Linked DNA regions of Drosophila melanogaster. The protein of the gene in region 1 interacts with the protein of each later gene in a pairwise test. Each region holds a gene or a part of one and is shown in the gene's direction. Other genes may lie near its edges.

Region 1 (4,685 bases):
CAGAGAATAATTATTTGTTACACGCAGCATTTTTATTATTAAGTTGTAGTGTTGGGTTAAACTTCTTTGGAAAAATATGACATAGGGTTAACTGTTTTAATGTTGGGAGAGGCTAACACCGTTGGTTGCAGATGTGAATGATGGGGGATGGTGATGAAGTGAGAACAGCTGATTTTGGCAAAGTAACTTGCGGTACCGTGGTGATCGGGAAAACTAAAACGGTTAAGCCGTAGTTGCCGGCTTTGCTTTGCTTTTAGCACGTTTGCACTTACCTCTCTGGCCATTACGACATGTTATCACCAGCGGCACCCGCTTAGAGGGTCTGCCATTTGCTCAGCGGCAATAACAACAAAAACAACACGGGAGCGCCTCTTAGAGCGAGGGAGTGGGAGAGGCAACAACAAAGCACACGCTTTTCGCGATACGAGAACTCTCGTGCGTCTACTTAAGTATGTGTGTGTGTAGGCGGCAAGCGGTATAGACGGAGAGACAGAGAGAAAGAGTGTGGGAGGAGTGTGTGCGTGTGAGTGTCTCAAAAATTCTCTACTACACGTTTATTTTCAATCTTCTCTTCCCGCACATTTCTCCAACGCGCCGATGCTGTTTCGTTCTTCCTCTTGCTTTTCTATCCTGTCCTTTGGCTTCCTTTCCTTCTTCCTCTCCACACCAATCACTGCGTGGGTATGTGTGTATAGGTGTGTATTGGAATTCGCAAAGGTATTTGATTAGGAAAGCTGGGATTTGTTTAAACAATTAGCATGCATCACTTTTTGCAAATTTGTTACAGTAACTTGGGTCAACCCACGCCCACTTTTATAGGTGCGGCTGTTGGGCAGGATTTGCTTTTTGGCAGTGGTGGTGGTGTACGTGTGCGGGATGCTTCTGTGTGCGTGCGAGAGAGCACATTGGAGTACCGTTATCGCTGGAGCCACATTTTCTTATTTGACATACACTTTTTTGTTGCACACGCACACGCGTTTCGTTGTTTTTTTTTTGTTACTTTAGTAAAATTTATTTTCTATACTCTCTTTCTTGAAAGCTTTCTTTTAACCGTTTTTTGTCCTTATCTCTTGGTATGTACGACACACACGCTTCACATACGTTCTAGTTTTTGGCAGTTGTTCAATTGTTCGAATTAATTCCGATTTCGGAATTTGTTGTTTTAACGATTTATGAGTTTTTTCGGTGCGGAAACAATAACATTTAATTCATTTTAAGCCGAGAAGAAATGCAAATCAATTTTTATTTTCGGCAACACTCGAAGAACTATCGTTATCGATTGCGATTTCTTTTACCTGTAGTATTTCGTGTAACATACTTTTGGGTGGTGCAGAAAAGAGTCACGCTCGAATATACTAAACTGGGCTGCCAACTTAGCTTTTGATTTGTTTTCTTGATTTTATATTAACACACCAAATAAAGAAATTGCTTAAGACAACTGTCCCTTTTAAGATATTATTTCCCAGATTAATATACGTATATTTGATTATTGGTGACAATTTTGGATACAAAAGCCAAAGTTATCGGCCACTTTAATACTAATAAAATATGACCAATATTTGGCATTTCTTGTCTAAATATTTGCAGCCACTCTAAGATTAATATTTTACCAACTTCTTTTAGCAATAAAAAGTAAATATCTTTACTGAAAACGTCAACTAAGGTCTCCCACATACAACTTAAAATGGACGACATACGTAGCAGCATAGATGATATGATGGACCGCTTTAACGACAGCATTACCCATTCGGCACCCAAGAAACTACTTTTCAACCGGCTTTCCGCCTCCTTCGATTTAGGAGTTTGTAAGTTGTAATTTACAGGCGCGAACGTAGAAACTAACAAGTAACTCCTCTACTAGCACCCAATAAGCGACGTCGGGAACGGGAATCACCGGAACGCAGTCTTAACGACACCGCCTCTTCCCTCAATATGCCCGCCAACGATTCCATGGCTTCTTTGCAGAACAGCAAACTACGGACCGAGCTGATCGAAACCAAGGCCATAGTAATTCAGCTGCGTAACGAAATCGAAAAGAAGAGCCGGGAACACAAAGAGGCCATATTGCTGGCTGAGAACAAGAGCACGGCCTTAAAGGATCAGTGCGACATCACCAGCAAGAAGAATTTGGAGCTGCAGGACGATCTTAAGGCGCTTCGTAAGCGAGAGCTGGTCTTGAAGAATGAGGCCAGTCGGGCCACCGCCGAGTTGAACCAACTTAGGCTTAAGTTCGATGAATCCACGCTCAAGTTGCAGAAGGAGAAGTACCTGCAGAAGGAGGATGCCCGCGATGTGCACCTGTGCATCAACAACGAACTGAGCGAATATCGCCGCATAGCCCAGCGGGCCGATCTCGAACTGCAGTCTACGCGCAACGAACTGGAGCGCCTACGTCAACTCAATGAGGAGTTACAGGCCAGGGCTTCCGGATTCGAGCAGCTGCGCGCCAATCACGAGAAGCAAACGCAAAGCTTGAAGGTGGCCAACGATCGCATTCAGGAGCTGGAGTTCGAAATTCAGTCGTATAGCGACTGGAAGGAGGTGGTCAAAACCTCACGAGAGCGCCTGGCCAGTGTTCCAGATTTGCTAGCTGAGGTGGAGCATCTGCGCAGCCACAACAAGCATTTAAACACTCTGATAGGCGATAAATTGCTTCTGGAGGAGCAGGTCTACGACTACAAAACGCGACTGGAGCGGGAGGAAGGTGCTCGGGCGGAAGCAGCTTCCCTGCAGGTGAAACTGCTTCACATGGAGCAAGAACTCAAGGAATGGGTCAAGGTGGCCCAGGATCACTGCTTGGCCAACACTTTGGTCAGCCCAATGGCCCTACGCTCGCGCATTGAGCAACTGCTAAAAGAAGACATCATTCACGTGGCAGAGAAGACATCATCGGCTTCGGATACCAAGCATTTGAATGTAGGTTTTGTCCAATGTGTTCCAAGTCCAATTTATCTGACTCCATTTTATAGACCACAATTCGAGATCTAGAGCATAAGTGCGCCATTTACTTGAAGAACATCGAGGATCTCAATATCGGACTGAAACGCCACAAGAACTTCAAGGAGCGACTGCAGCGCAAACTGATCACCGTGTCTAAGGAGCGCGACTTCTACAAACAACTGGTGGAAAACTTCGACAAGGACACGACCCTGAGCAATGCCAGTGTGGCGGACATGACGCAGGACATGCAGGTGCGGGTCCGAATGGAGGTGCTTGAACGCACCGTAACCGGATACAAGGACATGTGTGCCACGTTGGAACGCGAGATTCAATCCTTGCGCCAGCAGGAGCTTGTGAACGAACCTGCCGGAGAGGGATACGATAGCGTCAAAAAGGAACTGGATACGCTGCGGATGGAAAACGATCGGCTGCGTCGGCGCAAGGAGGAACTGGAGATGGAGATGATGCACCGCTGCTTGCGGGGCGACTTCAACATGAAGGACTTCAAGGTGGTACACTTTAGTGAAAATCCCGCTGCCGAAGCCTATGAGTCCACCAAAAACATGATGGAGAAGCTGCAGGCGGAGATTGAGCGACTCAAGCGGCGCAACAAGAAGTTGGAGGACGATAACGAGCAAAGGCTCAATGAAACCACCAGCACGGGCGGCATGACACTGAACTTTAAGGAGTTCAATCAACTTCAAGCCGAATTAGAGTCCGCCAATGGCAAGATGCGGAAGATGAGGGATTGCTTCAAGGCGGCCCGAGAGGAGTTCCGCGATGTGTGCTACATGCTGCTAGGCTATAGGATCGATCGAATCGGTGCCAACAGCAACTATCGGTGGGTAGCGATTCCATAGATCCTCCATCTTAGTTGCTAACATTTAATATTTCTCTTGCAGCATATCGAGCATGTTTGCAGAGGGACCGGATGACTATCTGGACATCAGCCTCAACGAATCGAACTGTTTGGCGCTACTGGAGTCGCCATATTCGCACACATTCAATCCACCTATTGATCAGCAGCTGGCAGCCAGCAACTTTCCCGCATTCTTTTCCGCCCTCACCCTAGAACTATTCCAAAAGGCCACTGTCACGATGACTTAGGTCATCATTACTTTAGTCTGTCTTAGCTTAAGCTAGCCGAGTATGAAGGCATTGAAACTTATTCTTGTCCGCATCAGATATACGATTGGTTTTTTATTTTACCACGCTAACAATAAACTTCCCCACATATAAATACATATAAATTATAGTAATGCACAATAGAAATTGGAATACCCAATCCACTAAGTGGAGGTCAGGATGTGAGCCACCTGCTCCGGCGTTCTGTGCAGCAGCTGCTCCGGCTGCTCGAAGCCGTTGGCCGGATCGTGGACGCGTTCGTAGATCTGCTTGTAGATGGCCACGATCACGTTGAAGGATCGCTTCTGAACGGCGGCCCGGTGACTGCTGGACATTATGAGCTGCACCTGCGGCAGGAGCAATACATCGGGTAGTTCCAGAAAGGCGTCCATCTTGGACATGAAGATCTTCAGCAGGTTTGTTTCTATTTTAGATTGATTGCTCTGCAGAATGGCGTAGATGGGACCCAGATTGAGGTTCGCCACCAGCGATGATGCCTGCTCGGAGGTCAGTGTGTCCAACTGGGCATCCGACTGCGCCTGCAGCCGCTCCACGCGCTCATCCATATATTCGTAGACAGCCAGCGAGCTTTGCATGTGATGCAGACAGTTCAAAAGGTA
Region 2 (7,569 bases), on another chromosome or scaffold:
AATTGTGGAACAAAATGTGTGTGATTGCATAATAAACAAGGCAGATAGTCAGCGAAACATAATGAAATTAATTAAAACGGGCAGAGCACGTACACGAACTTTAAACAAACTATGGGGCGGAAGTCCAAGTTGGTGACGAAAGCCCGCTCTCTGTCGAACAATATACACATGTATCCGTAAATGTATCTGAAACTGAGCCGGTGTATCTGTATCTGAGTTTGTATTATCAGGTCGTCTTTCATTCCAACTGGACCGCCGAATGTGAAAAATTTCGGTGGCGTCACCGCACAAATAAATATTCATTCTTGAATTTTTGTGTATGTACTATTCTCGCCATATTGAGATGTGTTGGTAACCTGGTAGATTGATCGTGTATATTAAGTAATAGTATTGGTTTTAAATTCAAAATAAACAGTGGAAAGAACATCTAGACCGTTGCTCTCCCTCTAAATTCTATATAATTCTTAGTTTTCCTCTTATCACTTAGCACATTTAAATCTACTTACAAATGAAGCTTTTAAAGTTTTTAATGAGTCTAGTCAGAATAGTTCTTATTCTAGTCACACAATTTAATGTTCTTGATTAGTTCTCCATGAATAGGAAACATTAAGAGAATGCTATAAACAATTTAATACAAGATAATGGCTGATACCGTTAGTGCGCAGACATACGTCACTATTATAGAACAAGCTAATGGCACACATGAACCTGAGCTACGGGCTTATCAATAATTTCTATTTTGGAAGCAACCCAAATATGAAAAAGCAACACAACTGCCGACTAAATTGGGGAAAAACAAAAAAATCCAAAAGGCCTGAAAAAACAACAGTGAGATGGTGAAAAATGTTCAGACAGCGCGATACAATGCGGTCGCTCTTATATACATACACACACATTTATCCACATATGCATATGTATGTATGTATATGTATCTTTACTCTTGTTATGCACTGCAAGCGGCTGCTTTTAGCCGATGTGGTGTGGCTGGGATGTTCCGCTGTCTATTTAATCAACCGCAGACTTCTGCCTCCGGCGGACAAGAAAGCCGCCAGAACAGATCAGCACATCAGTCATGGCCAACAATTAGTTTCGATGCGTTCAGCCGTCATGGTGCCGAGTTCCGAGCTCCAAGTTCCCTTCATGACTGATCTTGCAATAAGGAACACTATGTGTTGGCATGTAAGTCAACTCATGAGAATATATATGAGAATATATAGCTCCTGAACCAGATACAAACGATCAGATAGCAAATATCTGAGTCTGGTCAGATTATTGATTCAACAGGTGATAAAGCAAACGTATCTAAAGTTTCAATACGGCAGAGTCTTCCCAGAAGTCGCTTTACTTTCAGTGATTCTCAAAGGGTGGCAGTTTTGTCCCCCTTTCGCATTCCAAGTAATTCTTTATGAATGCTTGTTATCTTCTACCAAAGACACTAGTTATTCTAGTGTCTTTGCTTCTACCTTGCAGTTTATTTGCAGTTGGTTGGGATATTTCTCACACTATGTACACATGTGCATGCTACCCCCATGGACATATGCAAAACTGGGGGCTCCATGTCACACATCTATTTAACCTGTTCCACACTTGTGTGTACATTAACGAGCAGTGTTTGTGTGTGTGCTGTCTTTATATAAAGAAAATATCTGCCCTTGGCCTTATCAATGATAAGATTAATGGCTTGCCAGACCCGTGAGTCAGACTACAAACGACTTACGGCCATGTCGGGGTGTGTAGAAGAGTTGGCCTGGTTGTGACTGTCAATACAAGTGCTTACATAGGCACACAAGTGTGGGGGAAACAACGCACACACACATACAACGAATCTCGCAACATACGATATACGATAAGTTGTGATGTATATATTAATATATATATCCATTCCGAAACATCCACAAACAGACAAGACCAGACCGATATACCCTAGCACATTGGGAACGGAGCTTCGAACTGAGCTCGGTAAAACGGGGCAAGGTTGGGGCATTATCGCATCACATGCATATGACATCAGCGCAACACTGCGTATACGTAATCTGGCGATAGTACTGATTGAATGAATTTAATGTCAGGCTCTACTAACCGTAGTTCTCCCTTCGTTTTCGTCCCCTTTTCCCCGCAAACAGGTAAACAAAAAATCTACTGTGCGAAATGCACGAAGAAGTGCTCCGGCGAGGTGCTCCGCGTGGCGGACAACCACTTCCACAAGGCCTGCTTCCAGTGCTGCCAGTGCAAGAAGTCCCTGGCCACCGGCGGATTCTTCACAAAGGACAACGCCTACTATTGCATACCGGACTATCAGCGGCTGTACGGCACCAAGTGCGCAAATTGCCAGCAGTATGTGGAGGGCGAGGTGGTCAGCACCATGGGCAAGACCTATCACCAGAAGTGCTTCACCTGCTCCAAGTGCAAGCAGCCCTTCAAGTCGGGCAGTAAGGTGAGCTGAAACCCTCCACAGATCGAGTGATAAGTAACTAATCACATATTCCTCCTCACAGGTGACCAACACCGGAAAGGAGGTGCTTTGCGAGCAATGCGTCACGGGTGCTCCAGTGTCGCCCAGTCGCCAGGCGACGGGTGGAGGCGTCTCCTCGCCAGCTCCTCCGGCGGAGAGTCCGACGAGAGCCACTGCCCACCAGCAGCACGGCAGTGTGATCTCTCATAAGGCGCACCTCAAGGAGGACTACGATCCCAATGACTGTGCCGGCTGTGGGGAGCTGCTGAAGGAGGGCCAGGCACTGGTGGCGTTGGACCGGCAGTGGCATGTCTCTTGTTTCCGGTGCAAGGCCTGCCAGGCGGTGCTCAATGGGGAGTACATGGGCAAAGACGCGGTGCCCTACTGCGAGAAGTGCTACCAGAAGGGATTCGGGGTGAAGTGTGCCTACTGCAGTCGCTTCATTAGCGGCAAGGTGCTCCAGGCGGGCGACAACCACCACTTCCATCCGACCTGTGCCCGCTGCACAAAGTGCGGCGATCCCTTCGGCGACGGCGAGGAGATGTACCTGCAGGGCAGTGCCATCTGGCATCCGCGATGCGGTCCGGGTCCCTCCGAGTCCGGCATAATTTTGAACGGCGGCGGAGGCACTTCGTCGGTGGTCGGAGGTGCCTCCAATGGCAACTTCACAGACACTGAATGCGACCGGATGAGCTCCAGTGCCCTTAGCGAGATGGTAAGTAGTCGGATCTACAGATGATAAACCGCTGGTACTGAGATAATTCTCGAGACTCCAACACAACAATCCCGAGTTTAAAGAGGCTGCTGAGCTTGCAACTAATTTGAATGCTGCAAAATTCACGAAAGGCACACGCATTTAAAATCAAATTTCATACTAGAATGGGTGATATTTTAGAACTATTTTAGAACCTTATATATTATATTTATATAGGCACCCTGAAAATATCACCCATCTCAATTTACCACCCCCTTTTTGCACCTACACACAGCACTTATGATTTTATAATTTCAGTTACTTGCATTTTAGTTGTTTTGAGCTTGCGTTTTTATTTTTTCGTTCGTTTTCAGTACATCCGCTCCAGAACTCCGAGCTTTAATGGTTCACTTTATTCCTCTAGCCGCAAGGTTTGTTTTATAATTTTACTTTATGATTTCCCCTCATTTTCTGCCATCGTTTTTGAAAATACTAAAACCGAAAAGAAAAACACACGGCACTGCATGTATTTAAACTTTGAAATGAGAGCCCAGGACTAATCCCACTTAATTTGCAGCACTACCGAACGGTGAGTCCGGGTCTGATACTCCGGGAGTACGGACGACCCAATGCCGAGGACATCTCGCGCATCTACACCTACAGCTATCTGACGGATGCGCCGCACTATCTGCGCAAGCCGATCGATCCGTATGACAAGACGCCGCTGTCGCCGCACTTCCATCGGCCCTCCTCATACGCGACCACCGCCAGCAATGCGGGATCCGTGGCCGGAAGCCGCCCGCCGTCGCGTCCCCACTCGCGGACCCGCAGCGCCATGAAGGTGCTGGTGGACGCCATCCGCTCGGAGACGCCGCGTCCCAAGAGTCCTGGCATGAACAACGAGGAGCCGATTGAACTGTCTCACTATCCGGCCGCCAAGAAGCCGCCGCCAGGTGAGCAGCCCAAGATCGAGCGGGATGACTTTCCCGCTCCGCCGTATCCCTACACGGATCCGGAGCGTAGGCGGCGATACAGTGATACCTACAAGGGAGTGCCCGCCTCCGATGATGAGGACGAGAATGTGGAGAATGGCAAGCCGAATGGCAAGGTCAAGAATGGCGAGGAGCAGCAGTGAGTATTGGAATCTCTTGTGCATGCTATGATCCTAGATCCTATTAAATCTCTTCCCAAAAATACAGACGCCTTCAACGCGAAGCCGAACAGCTGGAAAAGCTTAACTCGGGCATCGGATCGGCGATTGCCAAGGACCTCAAGGAGCACGCCAAGTACAGGAAGTGGAAGCAGAACAATTTGGATCCGCGCAACGCATCCAGGACGCCCTCCGCTTCCAAGGAGCCACTCTACAAATTGAGGTAAGATATTGATCGTTATAAGAAAATTGAAAAATGATGATAATGAAAATTGATCGTTATAAGAAAATTGAAAAATGTATCTTCTAGTTCGTGCTCGGTGTATTTTGCACTTGAAGAAATCTATTATTATTTGTTTTAAAAATAGAACGATAAGATAGCAAAACATATGGTTATAGTATATAGTATAGTGTAGTAATACTAATCCTATGACATCTTGATTACACAGATACGAATCGCCCATTGGAGCATCGCCATCGCGCAATCTGGACCACCAGAAGCCCTTCTACGAGGACGAGATGTTCGATCGCTCCACCAGCTACCGTGGCTCGCTTGGCAAATCGCTTGGAAACGCGCCCAGCTACAATGGTAATCCTCTAGAGAGCATTGTCCTAGTTTCGATTTTCAGGCAAATAGCGATTCGATACCGATATTATATATTAGCCCACTTACGTTTATAGCCATACATTCCTACCGATCGCCGCCCAAGCCCGGATACGGATTCAAAACGACGACTCTGCCCTATATACGCAATGGCTTCAGCTCCGTAAGTGCTGCCTGTTGCTCAGATCGGCATAGATCGCATCAGATCCGATCCGATCCGATCAGATCAGATTATATCCTTGGTGCCGGGCTGTCGGTTATGTAGCTTATAGCTTACCCACTACCACACGAACCTATCCGCTTATATGTAATCCCAAAATAGTTACGACGGTATTTGTTTCTTGTTTCTCTCACTTTCCAATGCCGCCACTGGTTTGCTCACCTGGATGAACTAACAACTGTTTCGCATATGTCTCAACTGGTTGGTCTGCTGCTTCATTGCGTGTCTGAAAACCCAATCCCACCCATCCACCCATCCTGCGCCACTCCTAACAACTATGTGTTTGCTATTGTTGCCCTGACACCTGACAACAAATAACTCAAAAAACTAACACCCATCCACACTTGACCAACTAAAACTCGAACATTTGCATCATGAACATATCAACATCACTTGAACACCATCAACATGTACATCTACATCCACATCTGCTCAGTGGTGAGTGCGCTGCGCCATGTGCCCAAGCCAGGATACGGGCTAGCACCACGCTCCCACACATTCAGCTCCACCACATCCGCTGCGGCCACGATGCATGGTGCCACTGTAAGACCGCTTTCGTTGTTGCTATGCCGTAGAGTCCTTTGAGTCCCCGTCTTGTGTTTGGATGCCCGTTGGTATCACCTGTAACTTGCACTGGTTTTTCGTTTATTATTGTTGCATGTGTCCCTCAATTTGATCAGAAAACTAATCCCATGCCCTTTTCGAAAACAGGACTTCTCCTATGGAGGACTGGGCGACAAGACCCACAGCACAGATTTGAGCTGCGGCAAATCGGAGGGTAAGTGAAATATATTTTGAAAACCCGGCTCGGCGAAAGAATAACATAATTCTCCTCTGGCAGCTTCTGTGGACTCGATCACCGAGGGCGATAGGCGAGCTCTGATGGGCGGCGACCTGCCCGCCTCGAGCACTTACTCAGGAGCACTCTCCTACCACTATCCGCAGGCCGGACTCATCCGGCGCAGTCTGCCCAACATGTCCCATTCGATGCTGGTGCACGAGCCGGCCAAGATCTATCCCTATCACCTACTGCTAATCACAAACTACCGTCTGCCCTCGGACGTGGATCGCTGTAACCTAGAGGTAAGTTATGAAGCCAACTTCACAGACAGAACGCAAATAACGCTCTCTATCACCACAGCGCCATCTGTCGGACATCGAATTCGAACACATCTTGCAGTGCGCCAGGTCGGAGTTCTATCGGCTACCCCAGTGGCGACGCAACGAGCTGAAGCGGCGTGTGAAGCTCTTCTAGGAGGCAAGTGGAAGGCGCAGCATGCGAGGATAGCAACCCAAGTGGAGGAGGAGGCTGTTTGCGACGAAACCAAAAGAATTCAATTTACCTTAACAGCAGATGGCTATAACTCACGTGGCAGGAGATGAGAATCAATATATAAAATGAAAACGAAACGGGAAACTATGCTAATTTCACAGCCAGTTTTGAAACACGCTTTAAATAGTTGATGCAAGTGAAACCAACTAAACTAAATTTAAATACATAGTTACATTTACAGTGCGGAGCAACTAGCCGGCAGCTCCTGTTTATTTTTTTAAGAATTAGTTGCGCTAACGCAAAATTGTAACTGAGAACAACTATATGAAAGGAACATAAAATCCCAATAAAAAACGAAGTGTATACAGACAGATGATATATGAAATTAGTTAAACATTGCATGTCCCCGGCATGTAGGCTTTTTATACGCAGTGCTATGGCAATTTAAACGCAAACATAAACTGGACTCTTTTTCCAAATTACACCTTAATTCAACCATGTAACGGGCTACAGAACCGAGAAATGCATCAAAGAATAAGAAATTAATGTACCTACAGCAGAATCACACAGCAAAATGCGAAACATTAGATGTGTGGCATCAAATTTACGCTAAATCATTACGCAAATTTTATTTATTACTAAATATTTTATTTATTTATTTAAATAGAATATGTCAAAGAATAAACCAGAGATAATAAAACAGGACAAAAGCAGTGTCAACGTGTTTACAATTATTAAAACTTCGAGTGTGGAGATTATAAAGTTTCTTCTTAATCCTAGACGGAATTTACTCTTTGTCGAGCCGACAACGGCTAAAGTCTGTCGACATGCAGGAATGTTTGTGGAGTATTAGCTTACTATATATTGGCTAAACTGGCTTTAAACATTGTCGAATCGATAAAGAAACGCCATCAAGGGCATAATTCGGTGTGATTTGAGTTCGGGACGCAATATGTGACTGGAATGTAAAGTTCACAGAATAAATACGTAAATATTAAATAAGATTCCACAGAATCCATTTATCTATCATCTATATTGCACCATTGGTAACGCACTAGTTTTGCTTGTGCAAAGCTGCTCCGTCGGTACGTAACCCATAGGTCAGCTGGGTTTTCATCACTGCCAAACTGCTGCCAATGATCTTTTTGTGGTAGATCTGCCGCGTAACGAACCCAA
Region 3 (3,331 bases), on another chromosome or scaffold:
TCTCTGACGATAGCACCCTGAAAACTAAGCACAGCAAACGGAAAATAAATTAAACATTTTGTGTAAAGTTCGATGACAGACCGAAGACGACAGCATGAACACGTACGAGTATATACATAATAAATATATATGAGAACAATTTAACGAGATTAAAATCAACTAAAGTAATAAAGGGAAAGTGTATAACTATTAAAACTAACGAAACGCCAAGCTCTTTCATTTCGATTTTCGCATATTGCATTCAATTTATTCACAATAATTTTCGATACATAAATTACAGGATCTAACACTAAACGGATTTAATAAAACATATTTTTGGACAATACACAATGAATTAACAGTGGGGTTAATAAGCATGCGATTGTGCGCCAGTGGCACGCCAATTAATAATTTACAATATTGCAATTGACTAAAATCTGTAAATCTCATAGGTGTCCCCATATTTGCAGGGCAAATACCCTCGGACTCGAAGCGGGGATTGGGATTGGCTTCGCTTTGCTTACGGCTAGTAACACAATTTCAATGATTTTTCGTTGCCCTTACACCTCGGAACACTTTGCTAGACATTAATGTGCTTTTAGTGGCGGGTCACCACCGGGGACTACGTCGATTTGGTTCGGAACGCTCGTATTGGATGCTCTTGAAGCGGCTACTTGCCTCCAGATGCAGCTGCTGCTGTTTCGGTTCCGGATGTCCACGAGTGACAATGTCTTTCCAAATCATGGTCAAAAGTATGAAGATAGCACCCACAATCTTGTTCAGAAACTCGATTAGTTTAAACACTATTGGAGTGGCTGTATGTGTGAAACGACTCAGCTCAAACAGGAATCGCACAGCAAATACGCCTAGGAATCGTAGCGCTAGTGCGGCTCCACCCAAGGCAGAGAAAATTAGTAGACCCAGAAACCGAATGGTGCCCAAAATGTTCCTCTTGTTGACATCGTTGGTCATGAAGTCGTACACGGTTTGTTTGACTCCATCACCCCACTGTTGCAGCACAGCCAAAAAATCATTAAGGCCCAGCTGAATTTGCTCCGCCACTTCATCCGGCTTGGAGGAGGAGTTTTCCCCACCCGCTGTGATCGCCTTAACAGGGCTACTTCTATTAAGAATCAGTGATCTCCTCGGCGTCGCCATCAGCTCTGGCTCCACGGGCCTTATCATCTTCAGTTTGAACTGGACTTCATGGTCCCGGAAGCGAAGGGTCTTGATGCTAAACCAATACTCTCCAAAAGCCAGATCATTCATCTCTGTCCAGATGCAGGTTTCCAGTTGACCAGGATCTGCTTTGTGCTGGTAACTTCCGTAACTCCCATAGGTGATGCCCACCCACATATTGGGCACGAAGCGTTGATAAAACTTTTGTAATTGGCCGGCACTCGAGTGCAGCAGCTTCTCCAACTCTCGCTCACTGCGTTGAAGCACCACCACGTCCCGGTAGCCGGACACCTGCTCCACCAAGCAGCGTTCCATATAATAACCGCGGAAGAGACGAGACTTGTAAAGCTGCTTGGTTAGTGCTTGCATGGCCAGTTCCTCGGGCGGCATATGACGTCCGCTCGCCTGTGGCATCAACGCGCTGTTGTCCATGGCTAGCTGTGTATGAAATCCTTTATTACTGGTCAGCAAATGACCTGCAGCAACCTTACCGATTGATAGTGATTGGACTTTGTTGCAACCACTTTCGCCGCTTAGTCAGCACAGCGCTTTTGTTATTGTTTGACCAAGCAATTTGTGCCAGTCAATTAAGGGTGAAATAGCTGTCAGCTGTTGCTTATTTCTTATTTTTTTTACGACCATGCATAATGCACTTAAATTTTGGCTTAATTAACTTTAAAATTCAGACATTTCAACATAAACCAGGTAGACACAAATTAGGCAAGCAGCTGTTGAGTTCGATAGCCGATAACAATAAGGGTGACCATACCATATACAGTCGATTTGCGAAGTATACAATTTTCAGTGGACTATCGCTAATGTGACGAAAAAAATTATAAAAAACATTTTTGATACTCATTTTTCCCAGTTTTTCCACCCGGCCACGTTGGTTTCCACCCACATCAAGATTTCCTCCCAACAGCGTCTGCTCGAGTGCTTCAGGATGACTTTGGTGGGCCTAGCTGCCCGCAAATTAGCGCAAAAGAAGAGGTTAGTCGCGTTTAAGAAGTACCCCAGCCGGCTTTTTTGTTGTAACCTACGAATTCTGTAACAACAGATCCGCAAAGCAAGCAGCAGACTTTCCCAATGGCATCCGGTGCCAGAAGTGCCTGCAGATCGGACACTGGAGCTATGAGTGCAAGGAGAAGCGCAAATACGTCCACCGGAGCTCGCGTACCAAGCAGCTAAGCAAGCGTATGTCCCAAAAGGAGGCTGACGCACCCAAGAACCAGGTGGAGGAGCACTCGGAAGTGGCTTCCTCGGAAGGAAAGAAGGTCCGTCGAAAGCGGAAAACGAGCAAGAGCTCCTCGTCCTCCTCCAGCTCGTCGGACAGCTCAGACAGCAGCAGCGAATCGGGCTCCTCATCCGAATCAGACTCGAGCAGCTCCAGTTCGGATTCGGACGACGAGGAAGGCAGCTCGTCAGACTCCAGTGGAAGTGGCTCGGACAGCGACAGCAGCGAGGATCAAAAGCAGGGAGCTCCACAAAAAAAGAAAAAACGAGCCGGGAGTTCACCTGAATCTTCTGACGATCAAGAGTAATCAAGAGACCGATTTGTGGTCTGTAGTATGTAGCTTTACTAGTTTAGTTTTCCCACACTTACACCGAAAATGAACATACTTTTGGTACTGTATTGTTTATATTTTAATGCTCCCAACATGTACGTTTTTCTGGTAAAGTTCCAGCCTTAATAACAATTTTAATCCGAGTCGACTTCCTCCTCGAAACGCCTCATTTGGCTTACGAGATCCAGATCTATTTGCTGGCTGTTGACGAGATGGGACTCCATCACAGTTGTGATTGGGGACTGCTCCACCGACAGATCTATGTGGAGGGGATCCCTTCCAGGGGAGCACTGCGTTTTTGGGTTCTGCTGGCCCACCACCTGAGACTTGAGATGCAGCTCCTCTACCTGTGGAACACTGAATTGGGAAAACCGTCATTGAAGCAAGAGATTTGTAGATACCTTTAGTGAATTTAATGCCTCCTGAATGACGGGGAGCACTCGGTCGAGTTTCTTCTGGATAGCAAATAGTTCAGCCTGCTCTTTTTGAAGGACTCGATTTGTTTGCAGCATTTTGAAAACAAATAATAAACTTTAACCTTAGAAAGACCCCTTTTTAATGAAGGCCTTATATGGTATACTTCCAATGGACAAGGAAATAAATGAATT
Region 4 (7,547 bases), on another chromosome or scaffold:
TCAAGGCCGCTGAAATTTTTATTTACTTTTTATCTTACCAGATAAAAAATTAGCCTAGTTCTTTAGTTTTTAGCTACGTGATATTAGCCTTAAAAATATACGATTATTAATGATGTAAACTAATTAAGGCAAAGAAACAAATGGATATATTTTGATTAAAGCCAAATACTTAAGTCCTTGTGTTTGTATTTATTTTTGTATGATTGCAATATTCTGACTATATTTTATATAGATTATGAATTGCTGGGTGGGAGATATTCTGATTGTCTAATTCGCTTTTGATTATAAAGGATTTTGAAACATAATAATCATATAATATGGATAGAACGTGAAGTTCTTTAACGAGAAAGTGTGACTCTTTCGAGCACGTACTACACTTTATGCTTTGTATTTACATATATTTTATTATTTTTATAGTTTATTATGAACCCACTGGAAGTGTACCGCTTATCATCTAGAGACCCGCCTACCGTTATCATCCTTGCTGCTACTGCCGACGCTAGCAGAGGCAGAGACGGCGGCAGAGGCAGAGGCTGTGACGACAGCGACGGCGTTATTGATCAGTGGTGCGATTTCCATAATATTTATTTAGATATCGGAGCTCCGTTTGTTTATGTAATACACTTTATTGGCTTTACTTTTTGTGTTTGTCTTTTTCGCAAAATATTTTTGTTTGTTTGTTAATTCACATTCGCGTCTCTCTCTGTCTGCACCAGTCTTTCGATACGCTTGTGTGTTTATGTGTGAGAGAGCGCAACTGTGTGTATGTGTGTGAGAGAGCGCAACTGTGTGTGGGTGTACGAATGTGAGTATGTGTGTGTAAGCGTTTTGTCACGTATTTTTACAACGGCGTTGCTTTTGTAGTAAATATGGCTGCCAAGTTTCGAAAATTTCTGCAATCGTCCGCTTTTGTCGCACGAATTTAAATTTCCAATGCAATTTTTGTACTTGTACTCTAGTTATTCCATCGGTTGCATTACATCCTTTTGCTATTGTTCTCTCGATTTTCGCTCTCTTTCCCTCAACATGTTTTGCATTTGCATTTAATTCTGTTGTTGCTATTGCTGTTTTTGTTGCTGTGTCGTCGTTTTTGTTATTGCTATAGTCGTTGTCGTTTTTGTTGTTTGTGTTCCACTCCATCCACAAAATAATTGAGTGCGCTCCACTTTGGTGCGAGGGAGACGGAAAATTCTTCGCACGCACACAGTCTCACGTTTTTCCGTTTTCTTTTCTCGCCCAGTTCACGTACTTTCCACTTTCCAATCTCAAATTATTATTTGCTCACCGAACTTTTTCGCGATCTAAATTGCCTTTATTTACACGTTGCACTTAAAATTAGCTACTATTTTGCACTATTTAACGGGCTTTTCAACTGCTCAAAACTCGCCTTCCTCTTCAGCGTCGCGTATAGAAATAGTATGAAATAAAAAATACCAGCATGCTGCTCACTAAGATACCAAAATATACCGTTTCTTTAGCGACCAGGGAAGCCAAATACAGTTGGCTCTGTGATAAATGTACTCTTACAAAGCCTGTCTTACGTTATTTGCTTATTTTTTCGGGAATATTAAAAGACAGTTTACTAATGAAAATTTTAAGAGATTATTATAATGATTTCAATAATTCACAGTTAGATTCCCTTCCGTTGCACTTACTTGTAGTTGTATACAAATAGTGTTTATTTTATTTTTAATTATTTAAAAATATGTGATCTCTTATTTTAATTTCGAAAAAAAATGTGAAGAGATATTTCAAACAGATCTCCTTAAAATTAGCTTACGTTTACGATTTAATAACAATATCGATATAACGAAATGTCCACCAAAGTATCACAATATAAATAAGTGTATTCTCAAAAATATCGATACACTGATATTGTTATGCATTTCTCACATCTCTATCGCCATACCAATCGTTTCGTGTTTCGACTTTTCCAGGCCAACCAAAAAACGATTTTTCCGTACTGAAAAGTGCAATTCGCGCAAGGAAAATCTTCGATGTGGTCCTTTTAAGCCATCAAGATTGCATTTTCGAAATTTTCCGCCTGCAGCTGGCCCTGGACGTGCTTTGTATCCGTAGAGAACAGAGACGCAAAGGTTGGGACACCAACATATACATCGAAATCTAAACCAACATCATCCGCGTGTGTGTGTGTGTGGTGTGTGCTTGTGGGTGGACCAGGTTACCTTTCAGTTTTAAGGTGTTCCATGGAGTGAATGTTGTAAAAGCGATTGAACATATATCACATGAATAAAAGAGATTTCAGTTTTAATTAAATTAGGTTGAAGATAATTCCACAAGCATATTATTGAACTAGAGAACTGTTTATCTTAACCATCGATTAACTCAACCTGCCAATTTGTTTACCAATTAAAGTACATGTTTTAATTTTAAAACTTAGCTATTTTAAGATTCAAAACAGAAGTTTCAAGTAACGATCTTTTAGCTTAAAGTTTCTAAATATTTAAGGATTATTAATATTTATTTTATATCATTTATACGAATGGTGGATTGTTAAACTTAACGTGTTGAATGAATACCTTAAATAACACTCGTATTAGTGTTAAGATGTTTCTTTAGTCGAAAGGTCCACCTTAGTATCCGCAGATCCGAAGTTGTGAATGTGTGCGTGTTACACAGCATGTCTGTGTGTGGGTGGTGCAAAAGGGCGGAGGACAAGAAAAATAAATCAGAATTTCCACATCCAGTGCCCAGAATATGAATTATTTGCATCAAAAATGTACAATTACTTAATTTATTAAGTAAACAGTCGCTTCAAGAAGATATTAAACGAAGCACAATGTCCTTGTAAATTGATTAGTTACTTACTTACTTATAATCGAGTTCAATGCCGCCCTTCTACGCCCTACCTACGCATTGATTTAATTTACTTTGACTTGACCATTAATCACTATTCTACTATATACTACCATTTCTGCCCACAGATAGACGCCGTGTGGGGTTGGGTTGCTTCCGGCCCGCTGCGCTTAGCAGCGAACAGAATGGGCGACCTGCCGGGCTCGGGCTCCACCGCTCAACCACGGGATGCTGGTAAGGATTTGATAGGAGCTTGGTTTGGAATTGGGAAGAGAGCAAGCCAGGGGCAACCTGTGTGCCTCATGTGACTTTAAATACTTCATATTTGTTCGTAAGACTATGATCTTTCAGCTAAAAAATACTATTAGAAAAGGTTTTTCCTTCATAAAAAAGTATTTGAACTCTCATTCACAATTCCAATTAATCGGTACCATTAAGTTTATTTGTACTATTCCAAACATATGGTATTTTTATACTCAAAATCATTATGTATGCCAACAGCTGTCACCGGTACCGGTGGTAATTCCACGGCTGGTGGCGGCTCCTCCGTTGGATCTACGGCAGTGGACCGACCTCCGTCGCCCGCCCGCCTCTCTCACACGTCCGAGAAACATCCGAAGGTCACGCTCACTGAACTAAATATGCTACGGCGCCATCGGGAGCTCTGCGATGTGGTGCTCAACGTGGGCGGACGGAAGATCTTTGCCCACCGGGTAATCCTGTCCGCCTGCAGCTCCTACTTCTGTGCCATGTTCACTGGCGAATTGGAGGAATCGCGCCAGACTGAGGTCACCATACGCGACATCGATGAGAATGCCATGGAGCTGCTCATCGACTTTTGTTACACCGCCCACATAATCGTCGAGGAGTCGAATGTCCAGACCCTCCTTCCCGCCGCCTGCCTGCTTCAACTGGTTGAGATTCAGGACATCTGCTGCGAGTTCCTCAAACGGCAATTGGATCCCACCAACTGCCTGGGCATACGCGCCTTTGCCGACACACACTCCTGCCGGGAACTTCTACGGATCGCCGACAAATTCACGCAGCACAACTTCCAGGAGGTGATGGAGAGCGAGGAGTTTCTGCTGCTCCCCGTCGGCCAGCTGGTGGACATCATTTGCAGCGACGAGCTAAACGTGCGCTCCGAGGAGCAGGTCTTCAACGCGGTCATGTCCTGGCTCAAGTACAATGTCGCCGAGCGGCGACAACATCTGGCACAGGTGAGCTACTGTAAACCATATCTGATTACTACTCACCGATTCCTACTTGTTCCGTTTGATAATTACTTTGGAATAATATAAACAGCTCAATTTTTAAGTATTGCAACTAATAAATAAATAATGAATTGATATTTTCGAATATTCTCAGGTGCTCCAACACGTCCGTCTGCCTCTGCTGTCGCCAAAGTTCCTGGTTGGCACGGTGGGCTCTGATCTCCTGGTGCGCAGCGACGAGGCCTGCCGGGATTTGGTGGATGAGGCTAAGAACTATCTGTTGCTTCCGCAGGAGCGACCGCTGATGCAGGGTCCACGCACCAGACCGCGAAAGCCAACTCGACGAGGCGAAGTCCTGTTCGCCGTGGGCGGTTGGTGTTCCGGCGATGCTATTGCCTCCGTGGAGCGTTTCGATCCTCAGACCAACGACTGGAAAATGGTCGCTCCCATGAGCAAACGACGCTGCGGAGTTGGCGTGGCCGTGTTAAATGATCTACTTTACGCCGTGGGCGGTCACGATGGCCAGAGCTATCTGAATAGCATCGAGCGTTATGATCCACAAACGAATCAATGGTCCTGCGACGTTGCGCCCACCACTTCCTGCCGCACCAGCGTCGGCGTGGCTGTGCTCGACGGCTTCTTGTACGCGGTGGGTGGCCAGGATGGCGTTCAATGTTTGAACCACGTGGAGCGCTACGATCCAAAAGAGAACAAATGGTCGAAAGTGGCACCGATGACAACAAGGCGACTGGGAGTGGCGGTAGCCGTGCTTGGAGGATTTCTCTACGCAATTGGCGGCTCCGATGGACAGTGCCCGTTGAACACCGTAGAGCGATATGATCCCAGGTAAATCATAAATAAAGCATTTAAAAGCTTTAGACGTACAAGTACATTTTCTATCGCTTGTAACAAATGACCTTAATGTACATTGCACTTGAACGTAGTATTTGTTTGATTTACATTGCCCCGATTTTATCATTACAGACACAACAAATGGGTAGCAGTCAGCCCGATGTCAACGCGACGCAAGCACCTGGGCTGTGCTGTGTTCAATAACTACATTTACGCCGTCGGCGGGCGAGACGATTGCATGGAGCTCTCGTCCGCCGAGCGCTACAATCCACTGACCAATACCTGGAGCCCCATCGTGGCCATGACCTCCCGCCGCAGTGGGGTGAGTTTTTGTTACACTTTTTCTCGGCGAATAGTATTGTATTAAATGAAATCGCACCATTTTAGGTTGGCCTGGCCGTCGTCAATGGACAGCTGTATGCTGTGGGCGGCTTTGATGGTTCCGCCTATTTGAAAACCATCGAGGTCTACGACCCAGAGACGAACCAATGGCGTTTGTGCGGCTGCATGAACTACCGCCGACTGGGCGGCGGCGTGGGCGTTATGCGTGCCCCTCAGACTGAGAACTATATGTGGTGCGAAAATAGTTTTAAGCAACCGAATTCCTGAAACTAACTCAACTCCCATCCCTTCCATTGCTGATGAAATGTTGTCTTGTCTCTCTTTTCCCCCCGAAAACATGCTAACAAATTCAGGATACGGAAAGATTCTGTTGTCTGATGGGAACAGCAGCCGACAACGTTGCCCTCGCAAACGTTGCCGCCGCCGCACTTCTACTAACAATATCCGCAATCGAAGCCAAATCTAATCGACTAAACAAAACATCTTTTCGCCCCATTGTCTACTAGCAGTGTAATCGCTTTGTATTAATTGTTAATTGTTTATTTGGTAGAGCCTAAAGCGCATGTTTGTTAGACTTTTCCGGAATAGTATTAGAGTTAGCATTGTTCCCACGTTCACCTGCAATAACACATCCCCATCACTCCTGTGCGTAATTATATATGATTCTACTGTATGTTAAGCAAGTATATTTTATAAATAACTTAATATCTAAATGTTGCCGGTGGTATTTCATGGAAATCGCTAGCTCATAACCATGCCTTCTTTCGAAAAAAACAAAACAAAATCAAATATTAACCTAGAAACGAATTCGATTAGTTGTAAATCCTTAAACGAAGAGCTCTAAAGTCAAGTAACAAATTGGTATTAAAATAATTTAGATTTAAGGAGTGAATTCAAGAAAGTTTGTCCGAAATTAAACATCACAATGGTGCAATATTTCGATCGACCAACTAAACGCTGTTGTTTAGTCAAGTACACTTTAAATCTTTGCAAACGTCTTCAATAATACCACGACTATATGAAGTGAACCGAATAATTGCAAAGAATTTAAAAAAATAATGAATATTCAGCCTGTCAAGCTTAAAAAAAAACCATTAAGGTAATCACACACACACACAATGAAGAAGTTAGACCTAGCCCAAGATAATTCAATAGTAACAATTAACAATTACGCAGCCGTAAGATCAACTTTAAGGTAATAAATTTTAATATTGTTAATCCTAGATCGTGTAAACCGGTAAGAGTTTTCGGCCGGAATCAGGTCAAGTTTTAAGATGACTTATTGTTAAACCAAGTTTGACCATCGAGCTGAATGAACCAACTCGAATTAATCGCTTAGATAAGGGAGTTAAAACACAAGTAGACTCTCAATAACAACACATTTTCTTTGTTGCCTTTTACACCAACACTATTAAACAATTATTTATTCAAAATTATTATTTATTACACGCTTTCGTATCTCATTTAGTTTATTTTAGGTGCACATTTATAAACTGTTGTTAAATCGAGCAAAAAGGAATGATCTTTGCTTCCAAATGATGAATAAGAATAGCATTTATAAAAAACCAAGCTTATTTATATTATAGCTTTAAGTCAAAATGGTCAACAATTATACAAAAATTCGCATACCACCCATTATGCGTAGTTAAAAAATAACATTTCCTAGTTGTGTTGAGTGGTAAAAGTGCTTAACGCAAATAATAGAAGTGTTAACCTAAGAAATGATCGTAAACCCGTGCTATGTATAAGAATATATAAAAATAAAAATATATCAAAATTAAGACACTTTGTTTCATTCAATACATTACAGCCAAGGGCGGAAATTGCTGCCAAAAAATAATTAAAAATAAATATCCAAGTGTACTATTTTGTATTATATTCTATAATTTATAAATTTGTAATGCAATCAATGTACCGTTACGCGGTACTGGTACGCATCGGTACAATAGTTACGATATTGGATCCTTTACCGATAGCCGATGCTCGAACCCGATTGTTTTTGTTTTAGGCCTTAATTCGCACACACTGATTTGGTGGCACTACACACATTTTGTTATTTTAAACATTTTTCAAGAAGTCAATATTATGATAACAATTTTATGAAAATAATTGAACTAAATGCATTCGGAACATTTCGATATACACTGCCGACCAGTGTGAACGCTTCGCGACGTGGAGAAACTTCAGGCACGTCAGCTATCGATAAATTAAAATGTGTATTCGATTAGCGTACGTTAAACAGCTGTTTATTCTGGCGCTCTTTCATACGTTCGCTGAAATAGTTTTGTATTTCTGGCCGGAAATGATGTCCCAAATTCCGGA

Evidence for each region.
Region 2: the proteins of Mad1 (region 1) and Unc-115a interact in a two-hybrid assay, tested with the Drosophila melanogaster proteins (one large-scale study listed by BioGRID).
Region 3: the proteins of Mad1 (region 1) and CG5516 interact in a two-hybrid assay, tested with the Drosophila melanogaster proteins (one large-scale study listed by BioGRID).
Region 4: the proteins of Mad1 (region 1) and dbo interact in a two-hybrid assay, tested with the Drosophila melanogaster proteins (one large-scale study listed by BioGRID).

What each region holds. Positions count from the first base shown.
Region 1 is NT_033778.4:9,288,457-9,293,141, reverse strand, and holds Mad1 (mitotic arrest-deficient 1), read left to right. Parts: upstream 1-1,576; 5' UTR 1,577-1,684; coding exon 1,685-1,805; intron 1,806-1,861; coding exon 1,862-2,916; intron 2,917-2,969; coding exon 2,970-3,781; intron 3,782-3,842; coding exon 3,843-4,047; 3' UTR 4,048-4,185; downstream 4,186-4,685. Other genes in the region: Cog6 (component of oligomeric golgi complex 6), read right to left, coding at 4,230-4,685.
Region 2 is NT_033777.3:9,693,916-9,701,484, reverse strand, and holds Unc-115a (uncoordinated 115a), read left to right. Parts: upstream 1-1,564; 5' UTR 1,565-1,856; coding exon 1,857-1,974; exon of another isoform or gene 1,975-2,053; coding exon of another isoform or gene 2,054-2,123; coding exon 2,124-2,434; intron 2,435-2,495; coding exon 2,496-3,167; intron 3,168-3,520; coding exon 3,521-3,577; intron 3,578-3,723; coding exon 3,724-4,277; intron 4,278-4,345; coding exon 4,346-4,519; intron 4,520-4,745; coding exon 4,746-4,885; intron 4,886-4,977; coding exon 4,978-5,063; intron 5,064-5,556; coding exon of another isoform or gene 5,557-5,663; intron 5,664-5,831; coding exon 5,832-5,898; intron 5,899-5,961; coding exon 5,962-6,203; intron 6,204-6,261; coding exon 6,262-6,375; 3' UTR 6,376-7,099; downstream 7,100-7,569. Other genes in the region: CG32939 (uncharacterized protein), read right to left, coding at 7,448-7,569.
Region 3 is NT_033777.3:15,961,950-15,965,280, forward strand, and holds CG5516 (uncharacterized protein), read left to right. Parts: upstream 1-1,934; 5' UTR 1,935-2,101; coding exon 2,102-2,148; intron 2,149-2,215; coding exon 2,216-2,699; 3' UTR 2,700-2,812; downstream 2,813-3,331. Other genes in the region: CG4287 (uncharacterized protein), read right to left, coding at 589-1,590; CG32856 (uncharacterized protein), read right to left, coding at 2,858-3,070, 3,125-3,235.
Region 4 is NT_037436.4:15,825,001-15,832,547, forward strand, and holds dbo (diablo), read left to right. Parts: upstream 1-1,887; 5' UTR 1,888-2,096; intron 2,097-2,945; 5' UTR 2,946-3,002; coding exon 3,003-3,051; intron 3,052-3,318; coding exon 3,319-4,037; intron 4,038-4,185; coding exon 4,186-4,877; intron 4,878-5,015; coding exon 5,016-5,205; intron 5,206-5,270; coding exon 5,271-5,492; 3' UTR 5,493-5,578; coding exon of another isoform or gene 5,579-5,603; 3' UTR 5,604-7,004; downstream 7,005-7,547. Other genes in the region: DCP2 (decapping protein 2), read right to left, coding at 471-579; CG12713 (uncharacterized protein), read left to right, coding at 7,528-7,547. UniProt on the Drosophila melanogaster protein: Probable substrate-specific adapter of an E3 ubiquitin-protein ligase complex which mediates the ubiquitination and subsequent proteasomal degradation of target proteins. May have a role in synapse differentiation and growth.